Linked DNA regions of Tribolium castaneum. The protein of the gene in region 2 purifies or fractionates together with the protein of the main gene of each other region. This does not show direct contact. Links are inferred from orthologs where the notes say so. Each region holds a gene or a part of one and is shown on either strand. Other genes may lie near its edges.

What was found. Proteins that work in one complex are often made in the same cells at the same time.
Region 1: the proteins of regulator of nonsense transcripts 1 (region 2) and tsu purify together in Homo sapiens (co-immunoprecipitation; 7 studies listed by BioGRID and IntAct, with this or other methods). This does not show direct contact. The link is inferred for Tribolium castaneum from reciprocal best matches to the Homo sapiens genes UPF1 and RBM8A.
Region 3: the proteins of regulator of nonsense transcripts 1 (region 2) and pcm purify together in Homo sapiens (affinity purification with western blotting; 4 studies listed by BioGRID and IntAct, with this or other methods). This does not show direct contact. The link is inferred for Tribolium castaneum from reciprocal best matches to the Homo sapiens genes UPF1 and XRN1.

The regions. Positions count from the first base shown.
Region 1 is NC_087399.1:11,507,593-11,511,349, forward strand, and holds tsu (RNA-binding protein 8A), read left to right. Parts: upstream 1-2,269; 5' UTR 2,270-2,384; coding exon 2,385-2,445; intron 2,446-2,495; coding exon 2,496-2,639; intron 2,640-2,693; coding exon 2,694-2,955; intron 2,956-3,008; coding exon 3,009-3,036; 3' UTR 3,037-3,165; downstream 3,166-3,757.
Region 2 is NC_087397.1:526,754-532,597, forward strand, and holds the start of regulator of nonsense transcripts 1, read left to right. Parts: upstream 1-2,322; 5' UTR 2,323-2,655; coding exon 2,656-2,835; intron 2,836-2,887; coding exon 2,888-3,115; intron 3,116-3,159; coding exon 3,160-3,339; intron 3,340-3,385; coding exon 3,386-3,598; intron 3,599-3,650; coding exon 3,651-4,042; intron 4,043-4,453; coding exon 4,454-5,524; intron 5,525-5,585; coding exon 5,586-5,844. Other genes in the region: sodium channel protein Nach, read right to left, coding at 1-164, 209-389, 435-660, 710-840, 888-1,035, 1,082-1,242, 1,293-1,412. UniProt on the Homo sapiens protein: RNA-dependent helicase required for nonsense-mediated decay (NMD) of aberrant mRNAs containing premature stop codons and modulates the expression level of normal mRNAs.
Region 3 is NC_087398.1:6,305,636-6,310,540, forward strand, and holds the start of pcm (5'-3' exoribonuclease 1), read left to right. Parts: upstream 1-2,013; 5' UTR 2,014-2,205; coding exon 2,206-2,280; intron 2,281-2,325; coding exon 2,326-3,105; intron 3,106-3,153; coding exon 3,154-3,274; intron 3,275-3,323; coding exon 3,324-3,484; intron 3,485-4,269; coding exon 4,270-4,347; intron 4,348-4,400; coding exon 4,401-4,905. Other genes in the region: SCAP (sterol regulatory element-binding protein cleavage-activating protein), read left to right, coding at 657-878, 929-1,202, 1,252-1,637. UniProt on the Homo sapiens protein: Major 5'-3' exoribonuclease involved in mRNA decay. Required for the 5'-3'-processing of the G4 tetraplex-containing DNA and RNA substrates. The kinetic of hydrolysis is faster for G4 RNA tetraplex than for G4 DNA tetraplex and monomeric RNA tetraplex.

The DNA of each region.
Region 1 (3,757 bases), on a different chromosome or scaffold from region 2:
GGTGTCAAGACGCAGTGGTGTGGTGTTTGTATGTGTAGTTGTTACTAAGTCACTGGCATTTCCATCTTTCAATGTCGCTTTTAAGTATTTAAATGAGTTAAAAGCCTGATGAAGTTTATTATAAAATCGAAACGTTGCAACTTGTCGTTTTATTTACAACCATTTAAGGAAGCTGTCCTAATGTCATTAAATTTTATTCCAATAAGAAACAAAAAAATATAAAATAAATAGAATATAAAATAATCTCACTGTAAAATAGTCTAAGAAAAGACTGGATTATAGATCTGCAGACAGCTTTTTAACAAAATTTGAGAAAAAAAATAAATTTTAGACAAAAGAGAAATCTAGAAAAGAATAAGAGTACAAAAAGAATGCAAAAATTAATAAAAAGAAATTCTAATTGAAACTGTGGAAGGGGACAGAGACTGGAAACTGAAGGAGAATTTGGAAAATCTAAAAGAACAGTCTACAAAATATTTATGAATAAAAATCTAGAGACTCAAGACAAAAGAATAATTTAGAAAAATTCTAAACGAAGCTATAGAAGGAATTTGAGAAAACGTACAAGCCACAAGCTAATTTGGAGAATGTATAAGAAATACTTTAAAAAGATTTTGAATAAGTTACAAAATAATTGTGAAAAACATCAAGGGAAGAATTTAGAAATGAATCATAAAGTGGATTTATAATATAATTAAAAGAAGAAACCGGATTTTAAAACTATTAGAGACGGCTTTATAAAAAAATTGAGAAAAAAAAATTGAAACAATAGAAAAGAATTGGTACAAAAAACATACTAAATATTGATAAAAAAACTTTAATTTTAACTTAAATGAAATTGTAGAAAAGGGTCAGAGGATGGAATAAAAGAAGAATTTGGATAATGTAGAAGTAGTGTTTATAAAGAACTTTTAATGCAGTATAGAAAATAATTCTAAATAAAAATCTAGACATGAATCTAAAGAATAATTTAAAGAATAATAATTTAAAAAAAATGTAAAGATGGGGTTATAAAAAAATAATCCAAAGAAGAGACTGGATTTTAAATCTAGAGACGACTAAAATAATTTGAAAAACATTTTTAGAAATATTTTGAAAAAAGAGCAATCTAGAAAAGAATTGGTACAAAAGAATACTAAAAAAATAATAAAAAAATACTAAATAAAACTGTAGAAAGGGACAGAAAGTGGAATCTAAAGGAGAATTTAGAAAATGTAGAAAGCGTTTATAAAAGAATTTTGATGAACAAAGCATTTCTAAATCAAAGTCCATACGATGAATTTATAAAATAAGTTTATTTCCTATTTCATATTTACAGATGGTTTAGAACAATGAGAGAAGAATGTTAAAAAAATAGTGACACAAAATCAAAGCATAATTTTGGAAGATCTAAACGAAGGATTTTGAAAAGTCGCAGAGTAAAATCAAAAATAAAATTTTTAGGATGTATTAAAAAAGTGATTTCAAAGAATTTTGAATTCAGTCTATTAGCTGTTTTTTAAACTACAAAAACGCCAACGTCACATTTTGTCTCAAAATTAGCTGTTAATGCTGTTATGAATTTTTGATGCACCTAAAAAAAAATAATGAAAGTTATAACAAGCGAATTTTTAAAATTTTGATCTAGGTATCCTTGACAGTTACCTCAACAGTGAAATATATTACGTAAATAACTTCAGCATCGCTTTATCTGTCAATATATCTAAAATATTCACCGAAGAACATAAAAAATTATGCTGGATTCTTATTTCCCTAAAGGACATTGGGTTAACTTAACTGTTGTGGATTACTAGATCAAAATTTTAAAACATCGCATGGTACTTTCAATGAAAGATCTAAACATTAATAACTGTTTTACAATTTCATCAACCTTGGCGTTTGTATAGTCTTGAAACAGCTAATATAAATACAAAGAATATTAAAAAAACATTTGGAAATGAAGTAAGAAACGCCACGTTAGCGTTTATATAGTTTTGAAACAGCTAAATAGAAATGTATTATGAAACATTTTCGGGATCTAAATATGGTTTTAGAAAAGAATATGACAAGAATGTTAAGAAAAGTCTAGGGACGAGTACTGAATCCATGCTGAGGAATAAATAATTTGAAAGAATGTTAAACGAAATTATAGAATTTTGAAAAGACGCAAGGGAAATGTTGTGTGTTATTATTATTAGATGTTATTAGTGTTTTGTGCAATAAAAATAAATGTATTTTTTATTTTATTTATTTTATTCCGTGTTTTTAAATCTGGAGAATTATGGTGTTACAAGTGGCACGGTTGGCAACGCTACCGCGACTTCAAACGTCAAAGAAGCATCCCAAATTTATGCTAAAAATCGGTCTTTTTTAATAAAAAAAACGTGTGTAGTGTCGTTGTTACAATGGCAGATGTTTTGGACATCAACGATTCCGTCGAATTGGACGTGGAAGACGAAGGAGACCGTAGGCAAGCCGTAACATAACCTCTCCTTTTCCTAACCTCACATTTCCAGAGAGCGTTTTGCGCCTGAAAGATAAAGTTGTAAAGCGGAAAGGTCGCGGCTTTGGGCCTGGAGAGACCAAGGAACATGAGAAAATTCGAGGATATGAAAGCATAGATTCCGGGGATCACGGAGACGAGCCTGGGCCACAGAAATGTAATTTGCATTTTAAACAGTTTTAGTGTTGTAAACAGTTATTTTGCGTTCTAGCTGTGGAGGGGTGGATTTTGTTTGTGACTTCGGTGCATGAAGAGGCCAGTGAGGATGATTTGAGTGAGAAGTTTTCCGAGTTTGGGGCTATCAAAAATATAAGTATCAACTTGGATCGTCGGACGGGTTTTTTGAAGGGATATGCTTTGATTGAATATGGGACGTACGAGGAAGCGTTTGCGGCCAGGGAGGCTTTGAATGGGTCTTTGTTGTTAGGGCAAACAGTTGGAGTTGACTGGTGTTTTGTTAAGGGGCCCAAAAAGTAAGTTTCTTGGTTTTGAATGGTTAAATCTTAGTGATTTGATTTCTTTTCAGGTCAAAGAAACGTGCAAGGAGACACTGATTGTAACTGTAAATTATTTATAACTCAATTTTCCACTTATATCCATTAATTTCTTAAGATTACAAAAGTAAGGTTCTTTGGTGTATTTTATTTATGACATTCAAGAAGTAATAAATTGTGAGTTTTTTACGTGTGAAGTGTATTTTTTCTATAGTTTGGGACAAGCAAGTATTCTCAAAAGACTTGGTAAAAAGTACAATGTGATCATTTAAAGTTATGGTTACAATAGATTTTAAAATTGTTTTAACTTGGATTAAAACGGTGATTATCAATTATCACCATTAATCCAACTCAAGTTTAAATAAGGATCGGTATCAGAAACATATAAAAATAAACAGTCATTTATTGTAAAAAAAACACTAATAACTGTGCTAATAACAAAAAACAATGTGTACTCTGTTTCTGTGAATTGTAGAATTGTCAATGTCACAATCAATAGTGGAGTAGTTGTTTCAATACTATAAAAACATCAACGTTGCATTTTCCCTTAAAATTAGCTGTTATAACTTATTCGTGGACTTAAAAAAAATAACAGCTAATGTAATTTATATTTTCAATGAGATCTAAGTATTAATAACTATTTTATAATTTCATTAAAAAAAATAATTTGGTAAAATGCGACGTTGGCGTTTTTATAGTTTTGAATCAGCTAGACCCACATTACACTTGGAAGTGCACGCAAAAGAAAGGAAACTGATATTCATAATTTCTAGTATTCTGT
Region 2 (5,844 bases):
ATTTCGGAACTGACTCGAGTGTATTGGAGTTTTTGTAAAGCCAATATTGACGACTTCAACGTCGGAGCAAGAACTCGTACAACTGCAAGAAGTTGTTTTCTCCTTAACTTTCTTGTTATCAATTGTGCACAAAAGCCCCTCAAAATCACAGTCTTTGACTTGATCTAGAAAGTAGTTTTAATTAATAGTTTATGAACCGACTTGTTACCATTGTGTGGTAAAATGTGATAAGTGCAATTGCAAATCTCCCTTTGGGCTTCAACAAGACATTCGTTCACGCAAGCTGAAGTACTGTACAATTTTGCATGTTGCAAGTTATTTTCATCGTAAAATCGACAACCACGATTTGCGATTTTCATCAACCTGGCGGCTTCGTCCGTGAAAGTTTCCTTTGTAACAATTGTAAAACAGTCACTCAAATGTAATCAATTTACTTTAACTGATAAAAACGCCTTGTAGGCTGTTTTAGCAACAATTCCCGAGCTTGTGCGTGAATCTAGCAACACAAACTCGCTGGAACTTTCCTTAGTAGGGACGGAGTCTTGGCTCAACCCATACACAATGAACCCATCATGGTACAGCTCAACTGATAAGTTGCCATAACCGAAATTTGAGTCGCGCGTTATTTTGAAAGGGAGGTCTTCCCGACTTGTGTATTTTCTAATAAAAATTATTTTTAAATTTGTTTGGTGAAATAAAAGGCAAGTACCCTGAAACCAGAGAATTGAAGCCAAAGCAAGGCCCGTGGTAAGTGTCAATGGGCAAGAATTCGTCACAGCAGGGAAATTCTTCGTTGTTGTAAAAGCACGAACTAATTGCTTCCGAACAAGTGCTGCGGAACTGCAATTAAACGAGTGCAGTTATGTTAACTGGGAAAATACCACAACCTTATGCATGTATTGCGAGTAATTTGTTAGCAAGCATTTGTCACGTAGAGCACCATTTGGTTGGCAAACTTGCGTGTGTCTTATGGAACCGTCGAAGAAAACGAAGGTTTCGAGTTTGGGGAACTGTTGAGATATGGAACCGAAAATTCTTCGAGCAGAGAGAGTTATAACAAAGAAAATCACAATTAACTTACTTCTTGTTAGCTTCGAGCATTTTTTTTGGATTTGATCGTTCGCAAATAACAATTGAAGGAAAGTTTGTTTGCCAATTTAAGTAAGATGTGTCCACTGAAAAGGATATTTTTTGGTTTTGATACTGGTCTAGTGCGTTAAACATTAGCATAATCGATGCGGCCTGTGAATCTATTTTATTGTGGTAAAAATTTGACGATTTGTGGGATTTACCCAAGAAGTTAGGACACATATTGTCCAAAAAAATCTTTCAGTCCAGTGGAATCTCTTATCAGCTATGAAATGCAAGCCATGTAGAGACGTGTTTAAGAAATATTTTGTAACAATACTCATTGTAGTGTAGTTGGGAATTTGTAATCAATACTATTTATGAGTTGGGTCATAATGCAGTAAAACTTTAATAAATTATTAATAGATGTGTTGAATTGTCGCTGTACAAAAACCTAATAAAAAGTTAACAGTTTTCAAACTATCAATTATATCATCGTAATATTTATTATGTATCTGTGGGAAACCAGAATGATACGTGAGCATTTAAGTAACCGCAAGCTACTTAAACATGAGAAGAATTAAAAAATAAGGAGTGCCAGTTGTAATAAAGAGCATGTGTGATTTCTATTAATTTAATAAAATACAGTCATTTCTTGATAATGTTTTTATTGAGTCCACGTTCTATTTTTATGGATAAAGTTTGTAATAGCAATATCAAATTCAATAATCATAAATCATAATAATTTCGCCATTTTTCGTCCATTTTTAATTTAATAATTAGGTAGGCAAAACCAAATGCTCAGTTGTTTTATTGGTCATCTACTCAATAAACTTATTACGTTTTTTAGTTTTATTTATTTCGACAAAAACATTCGTAAATTTACGTTCTTTTAAAACGAACATCATTTTATGTTTTTGACTTATTACCGATAAAATTTCACTGAAAAATCGGCTGTTTTTGAAAAATGTGTTTTTTTTATTTTGATATGCCTCTTTTTTGCAGTCATGTGTTGAATGTTGAATAAAAACCGAAAAATCAATAAACTTTATGCTATAATTTTATAATAAAAATAATGTTTAAATGTAAAATTTACAAAAAAGTGAAAAATCAAATCATAAAGTGACGCAGCCTTAGCCACTTCTACAATCAAACATATGCTTATCTCTCTTTAACTTAAAAGATTGCGATACGTGTCTCACTCCGATAAGATGGTAACCACAATGATAACACCGTGCCAACCAACGAAAAAAAGCTTAGGGATTAAATTAGACAATAAGGTTGTGCAATAATCTATTTCCTAAACCACTTTTTAATTTTGAGGCCATAAAAAAGATCAGTGCGCTAAAAACTGAAAAAGATAGCACGAGTGTTTAAGTTTCCCGCTCCGTCAATTATGCTTCGGAAAGAGAAATGACGATAAAAAAACAAATGATTAATCAGGAAAATATGGCGCTTGCCAGGAGAAAAATGTAGAAATTTTAAAGTAACCATAGTCGAGTTGTCATCAATTGAAGTGTTAAAAGTGTTTCATCAGTAAACGTGAATAAACCCGTGCTTCAATTCGTTCGCGACGAAATCTCCAAGATGAGTGTCGACGCATACGGCCCCAGTTCGCAAACTCTCACGTTTTTAGAGACCGAAGAAAACGACTTGATCGGGGCTGACACCCAAGGATCCGAATGCGAATTCACCGATTTCACAATTCCATCGCAAACGCAAGCCTCGCAGCACGACCACGCGGGCCCCAAAGTTTCCGGTGTACAGGTTAGTGCAAGGTCGCCCCCTGGTTCAGTGTCGTATGACGTTGTTGTTTTAGCTCAACAACAACATCAACAACAAAATCGCCAATGCGACGAGTGCTTTAGGGGAACTGCAATTCGAGGAAGAGGATGAGGAGTATTTCAACAGCAAGGAGCTCCCGAACTACGCGTGCAAGTACTGCGGCATTCATGAGCCGAATTGCGTTGTCATGTGCAACTGCTGCAAAAAGTGGTTTTGTAACGGGAGAGGAAACACCTCAGGAAGCCACATAATCAACCATTTGGTGAGGAATTTCAACTTGGAAACTGTTTTTTGATTGGGGTTTAGGTCCGAGCCAAACACAAGGAAGTGACCTTACACAAGGACGGCCCTTTGGGCGAGACAATCCTTGAATGTTACAGTTGTGGCGTCCGCAATGTTTTTGTTTTGGGGTTCATTCCTGCCAAAGCTGACTCTGTTGTGGTGCTACTTTGCCGCCAACCTTGTGCCGCCCAAAACTCACTTAAAGTAAGTCATTGCTTTTAAAATAGGACAGTTTTCAAGCTTTTAATAGGACATGAACTGGGATCAAGACCAATGGAAACCACTCATTACCGACCGGTGTTTTCTCACATGGCTTGTAAAAATACCATCAGAACAGGAACAACTGCGAGCGCGCCAAATCTCAGCCCAACAAATCAACAAACTTGAAGAACTTTGGAAAGATAATGTTGATGCCACGTTCCAGGATTTGGAACGGCCAGGAGTTGACGAAGAACCGCAACAAGTTAGTCTTGTTTGCACAGTTCTAACGTATTTATTATAATTTTTTTTGGTAGGTTTTATTGCGATATGAGGACGGTTATCAGTACCAAAACATTTTTGGTCCTCTTGTTAAGCTTGAAGCTGATTATGATAAAAGATTGAAGGAGTCTCAGACTCAGGAAAATATTGAAGTTAGGTGGGATGTGGGTTTGAATAAGAAAACAATTGCGTATTTTACTCTTGCTAAAACTGACGGGGATATGAAATTAATGCACGGAGATGAGTTGAGACTTAGATACGTGGGAGAAATGCATAAATCATGGGCGGGGGTGGGACACGTTATCAAAGTTCCTGATAATTACGGAGAGGATATTGGCATTGAGTTGAAGAACGGAAATGGGGCTCCCACCGATTGTAACAGCAACTTTGTGGTGGATTTCATTTGGAAAAGTACCAGTTTTGACAGGTAAATTTCGTTGTTGTGATAGAAACAGAAATAATCACGTTAATCTCTTTATGTATCACATTTTTTATTTATTTTTTTAATTAATGTTTTACTGTTAGTAGTCAAACGTTGAAAGTACCATTGTTATAAACTTTCACATTAAATATAAGTATAATATTACAATCAAACTTTATTTTAAAAATCACAGTAATTAAAAAAAAAGCATGAGAGAAGTGACGCATTTTCACTTCTTATTTCCGAATGTTAAAAAAATCTTTGTAAGATGTTAATTTTAAGCGTTGATATTTCAAGCTATATTAATGTGGTAATTTTTTTATAAGGTTTCTAAGAATATTTAATTAAAAAAATAATTATGTGAAAACAAGTTTTCACGTCGTTTTTTTCTGAGCTCGCCTTTATTGTTAATTGCAGGATGCAACTCGCCTTGCGAAAATTCGCCGTTGACGATACATCCGTTTCCGCCTACATCTACCACCGCCTCCTCGGCCACGAGGTCGAAGAGGTCCTTTTCCGTTGTCACCTCCCTAAACATTTTTCGGCACCTAATCTTCCCGACTTGAACCGTTCGCAAGTCTACGCCGTCAAACATGCCCTCCAGCGTCCACTCTCCCTCATCCAAGGTCCTCCCGGAACGGGAAAAACCGTAACTTCCGCCACCATCGTCTATCAATTGGTGAAACAAAACGGCGGTCCAGTCCTAGTCTGTGCTCCCAGTAATACGGCAGTTGACCAACTTACCGAAAAAATTCACAAAACTAATCTAAAAGTTGTAAGATTGTGTGCGAAATCACGCGAAGCGATTGATTCGCCTGTGAGTTTTCTTGCATTGCATAATCAGATACGTAAAATGGAAGCCAATACTGAACTCCAGAAGTTGCAACAGTTGAAAGATGAGACTGGAGAGTTGAGTTCAGTTGATGAGAAACGATACAGAATGTTGAAAAAATTGGCTGAGAAAGAATTACTCGAAGCTGCCGATGTTATTTGTTGTACTTGTGTGGGGGCAGGTGATCCACGATTGGTTCGTTTGAAATTTCATTCGATTCTGATTGATGAAAGTATGCAAGCGACTGAACCCGAATGTATGGTACCGGTGGTACTAGGAGTGAAACAATTGATTTTGGTTGGTGATCATTGTCAGTTGGGTCCAGTTGTTATGTGTAAGAAAGCAGCAAGGGCTGGATTGTCCCAAAGTTTGTTTGAGAGGTTGGTGGTATTGGGAATTCGACCGTTTCGCTTGGAAGTACAATACAGGATGCATCCAGAATTGTCGCGTTTTCCCTCCAATTTTTTCTATGAAGGGAGTTTGCAAAATGGAGTTTGTGCCGATGAAAGGAAGTTGAACAAGATTGATTTTCCATGGCCGGTTATTGACAGGCCCATGTTTTTCCACGTGACCCAAGGGCAGGAGGAAATTGCCGGGTCTGGGACTAGTTATCTGAACCGAACTGAGGCAGCTAATGTCGAAAAGATCGCCACTAGGTACGAAAATCATTTGGTTTTTTTTCTGTTTGCCTATTTTTTTTAATTTGCTTTTTTACAGATTTTTGCGGTCGGGAGTTAAACCGGAACAGATCGGTGTTATAACCCCATATGAAGGTCAGCGAGCTTACTTGGTCCAATACATGCAGTACCAAGGCTCACTTCATAGTAAGACTTATCAAGAAATTGAAATTGCAAGTGTCGATGCGTTCCAAGGACGTGAAAAAGATATAATTATAATGTCATGTGTGCGTTCAAATGAACATCAAGGAATTGGATTTTTAAACGATCCTCGACGTCTCAACGTTGCATTAACTCGC
Region 3 (4,905 bases), on a different chromosome or scaffold from region 2:
TGCTAAAGTTATTAATTGTATTACACAGAGTTCTCGTGAAGTTTGTGATCTATTTGCCCCGCAAATATAAATGCGCCATTGCATTTTTTTTTTGCTAAACGTTTGAAATGGAATTTCAAATTTGTTTACTGTTTTTTTTCTTTTTAATTTCTTATCATTATCCCTTTACTCAGTCTTTTGTGTAATAGTACTATACTAATGTATAAATTCAGGATAAAATGGCTAAGATGACCATAGAGTTATAGGTCTTAAATTCTGTGATAAGCTTTAATAGTCGAAGGTTCGGTAAAATTTGAAAAAACTATTAAAAAGTTCATAATTCCTTTAGAAAGAAATCTCGACAAGGCAAAAAATTAATTAGATATTGGAAAAACTACTCTAATTTGAAAAAATGTCCTATTATTTATTAATCAGTACTCAGTAGATGAATCACTTCAAGAATCATACTGTTTGAGTTATTAAATACACAAGTTCGGACTATGATTAAAAACTCTTGCTGTTCAGATTACACAGGTTTGTAAAAAGGGCGGTAGGATTAGAGAAATTTATTTGAAATCGTGGTACAGTAAATACAAAAAGCAGTCACAGTTAAAAAAGTATGATTAAAGATTGCAAAAAAAATTGTTTGTTAATATTTTTTTCAATTATTGTTGCAGTGCATATTTGAAGACGGAACCGATGTTGGAATAAGCAATTTAAAAATCGTGGGGTCGCGAATTATCGCATCCCGATTGTATGGCACCTTGGAAATGTTCCAATTACAAACTTACAACCGTGGCCATCCAGTTGACTGGAATTTCACTTGCGCATACCGAAGAACCCACGTAAGGACTGGCTCAGTTGGTTCCGTCCCTGATCACACCAATTTAATTTCACAAGTAAATTATCATTTTTAACTCTGAATATTTCTCCAAATTACGATTTTTAGAACGAGGATGAGGAAGATTTCCGGTGTTTGAAAGTTTTCAGCGTTAAGGCACACCAACAGCCGATTATCTGCCTCGACTGTGAAGGCGGCAGAATTTTAACCGGCAGCCAAGACCACACGCTTAAAGTGTTCCGACTGGAGGACGGCAGCCCCCAGTACACGCTGCACGGCCACTGCGGCCCCATCACCTGTCTTTTCATTGACAGGATCAGTCCAGCGACTTCTGGCAGTGGCTCCCAGGACGGAATGCTCTGCGTTTGGGATCTTCTAACTGGTAAATAGGTTTGGTGGTAGGCCGAAATTTAATGAGAGCGTCGTTACAGGTGCCTGTATGTACAACATCCAGGCCCATGATGGTACGATAACATCGCTGACGTACTCTGCGAGTTACGTGATTTCACTGGGTTCTGACGACCGCATTTGTGTTTGGGAGCGCTTCCAAGGCCATCTTCTGAACACCATTTACGTTTCTCAGACCTTTTCTAGCCAGGTGTTGATGTTGGCCCCTCATTTGGTTGTCACAGCTCGCAGTGGAGGGCTAGTTATTTGGGATGTGAGGTCGGGTGAATGTGTCCGAACGATTATATTAGGCCGTTCACCGTATATTTTTATCAAACAGTTGATGTTGTTACGCGATGCTGTGGTCTGTGATTACGGAAATCAATTGCGCATCGTGAGGTTCCCTCTTATCACTCATAAATTTGACTAGGTTGTTTCTACGTGCCTTCAATGATGTAACATAGTTTCGTCTATTTATGTCTTGTTTTATTTTTATGTCCTTTACGTAAAAGCGTCAAAACGTACTGTAAATTTTTCACTGACAAAAGGTTTCGAATACCTAATTGTTTTTTCATTAAGTTATTTATTTATTTGGCGGAAATAAATGCATTTAACATGAATTTTTATTATTGTTATGTTAACTATTTTTGTAACAATAAATATTTTAAATAACGAGATTGGTTTTATTTCCATTTCTTCTGAACTGCAGTTGCAAATAAAATAGTCATTGAAGCGATAATTTGCTTTGCCCTACGTTGCGGTACGGTTACGCCAGTGGCGTGTAAAGCCGACATTAGGGTCATCCACGTTTTCTGTCATCTGTCATTCGAAACGACATATTTTTCTTTTTTGTTGTGAGTTGTGATGAGCATTTCATAATTGAATATAGAGCTTTTGGTGGATTATTTCTTTCATTTCATTCAAACACACTCTATATTTACATGCGTCTTAGAGTTTGCGAGCGACGTTGAGACCCGCACTGAAAACAAGCCTAAATCATGGGGGTTCCCAAGTTTTTCAGATACATAAGCGAACGCTACCCTTGTTTGAGTGAATTTGTGAAAGAATATCAGGTAAACCGCAGCCAGCACCCAACACGTCCACATTCTGGGTTTCAGATCCCAGTTTTTGATAATTTGTATTTGGACATGAACGGCATAATCCACATGTGTTCGCATCCGGACGACAACAACCCTCACTTTCGAATCACCGAGGAGAAGATATTCGCGGACATTTTCCACTATATTGAATTTTTATTCCGGATGATCAAGCCCCAAAAGGTGTTCTTCATGGCAGTGGACGGGGTGGCGCCCAGAGCCAAAATGAACCAGCAAAGGGGACGCCGGTTTCGGTCGGCGAAAGACGCGGAAAAAATGGAACTTGAGGCGAAAAAAAAGGGCGAGAAATTGCCCGACGTGGAACGTTTTGACTCAAATTGTATCACACCTGGCACTGAGTTCATGGCCAGGTTGCACGAACAGTTGAAATATTTCGTCGTTTCTAAAGTTTCAACCGACAATATGTGGAAAAAGTGTAAAATAATTTTATCAGGGCATGAGACGCCCGGCGAAGGGGAGCATAAGATCATGGATTATATAAGGTACATTAGGTCCCAGCCTGGGTATGATCCAAATACGCGCCACTGTCTTTATGGCTTGGACGCTGATCTCATTATGTTGGGGTTGTGCACCCATGACCCCCACTTCTCACTGTTGAGGGAAGAGGTCAAGTTTGGCAAAAAAGCCAAACGAAGCAATGTACCTGAAGAGATAAGATTTTATCTGCTGCATTTATCTTTAATGCGAGAGTATTTAGAAATGGAATTTTCGCCTCTCAAGGAGGCTTTGAAGGATTCAGATAAGATTAAATTTGACATTGAAAACATTATTGACGACTGGGTACTAACTAAAACTTTGGAAAAATGTGACTGAAATTAATGCTTTTAGATTCTGATGGGCTTCCTTGTTGGAAACGATTTTATACCAAATTTGCCTAATTTGCACATCTCTAATGGAGCATTACCTGTTCTTTATAAAGCTTACATTGAAGTCTTACCAACATTAGATGGTTATTTTCGTTATTCTTACTCAAAATGTTGTGTAATTCGTTTTTGTAGGCTACATTAATGAAGCCGGAACGCTGAATTTAGAGCGGTTCGAAAAATTTATGAAAAAGTTGGCAGATGTAGATATAAAAAACTTTGAGGAAATCCAAGATGATTTAACGTATTTTGAACGCAAAACTGGGAGAAAAGCAACTGCGCATCTTCCCGTTAGTGTAAGTTATTCTAATAATGCAAAAAAGTAAACAATTTTGCCTTTTTCGAGCGTTTTACACATCTTTCAGGTGCAAACGCAATTGTTTTGCATGAATAATAAACCGAAAAATTACCAAATTAGTTGCAAAAATCTTAGATTATTTCATCTTTTAAGTACGTTTTTGAGATTAAAGAGCGAAATTTTCTTAAATTTGCTTCTCCAGAACCAATAAATTATGATTATCATTATTTTTCTAGTTTTTTATTTTATTATGACATTGTTCGTACAGAGACGTTGATTATTGCATGGTATTTCTTTAAAAATAATCTGAGAAAACGTTGACTTTGCTCGAAAATGGTGTTATTTTTTATGTTTTGTGCATTTAAGCACATTTTCATTTAGAACAATTTCTTGTTTTTGACAGTTTTAAATTATTTCCAAAATAATTGGGTTTGTTATTTTTATTAAACATCACGTTAATTGTTGAAGTTTGTTTTAATTTTCTTATATTTTTTAATTTTTATTGGTCTCGCTTTTTGAGAGGCTCGGAACCGTCTAATTTTTAGCTGAGAGCCCATAAAAACACTGTAAGTTTGTGTACTTTTTTAAACATGCTAATTAAGAAGACCTAATATTGTTTTTTTCCTTCAAAAATGATTATAATTATTGTTATTTGGAAATCCATTAAACCGTGAAAAAACTAAAAATAAAATATTACGTTACGTAATAGATTTTCACTGAATACGCTATTTTACAATATGAAAAGTTTAATATTTAGTAAACTTTATTTTTTCTACACTCTAGTCTAAACCTGTTAAAAACGGCGAGGAGAAAAAAATTGACCCCGCACTTGCTGAATTAATAGCAGCAACCGATAGTTTGGTAAGTCCTGGTTTAAAAAAAAACTCTCCCAATTGAACATTTTCAATGCAAAGGCCGTCTCTTCCGATGAAGAAGACTTCGAAAGTAGCATTTCATCAGAAGAAGACGAGGCTTTCAAAAGTTACAAAGACGAGTATTATCGTAATAAATTAGAGTTCCAAGAGGTGACGCGAGAAGTGATGCGAGAGCAAGCCGAAGGCTACGTCCGTGCCATCCAATGGAACTTGAATTACTACTACAACGGAGTGTGCTCATGGTCGTGGTTTTATCCACACCACTATTCGCCCTACATCTCCGACATTAAGGGTTTTTCCGATTTGAAAATCGACTTTGAGCTCGGAAAACCCTTCAAACCTTACGAACAATTACTGGCTGTGTTGCCCCCAGCCAGTAAAAAACTCCTCCCGGAATGTTACCATTCCTTAATGACTGATGATAATTCGCTGATCAAATCATACTACCCTGAGGAGTTTCAAACCGACCTAAACGGCAAACGCCAGGAGTGGGAAGCTGTGGTCCTTGTGCCTTTCATCGACGAGAAAAATCTGCTCAATGCCA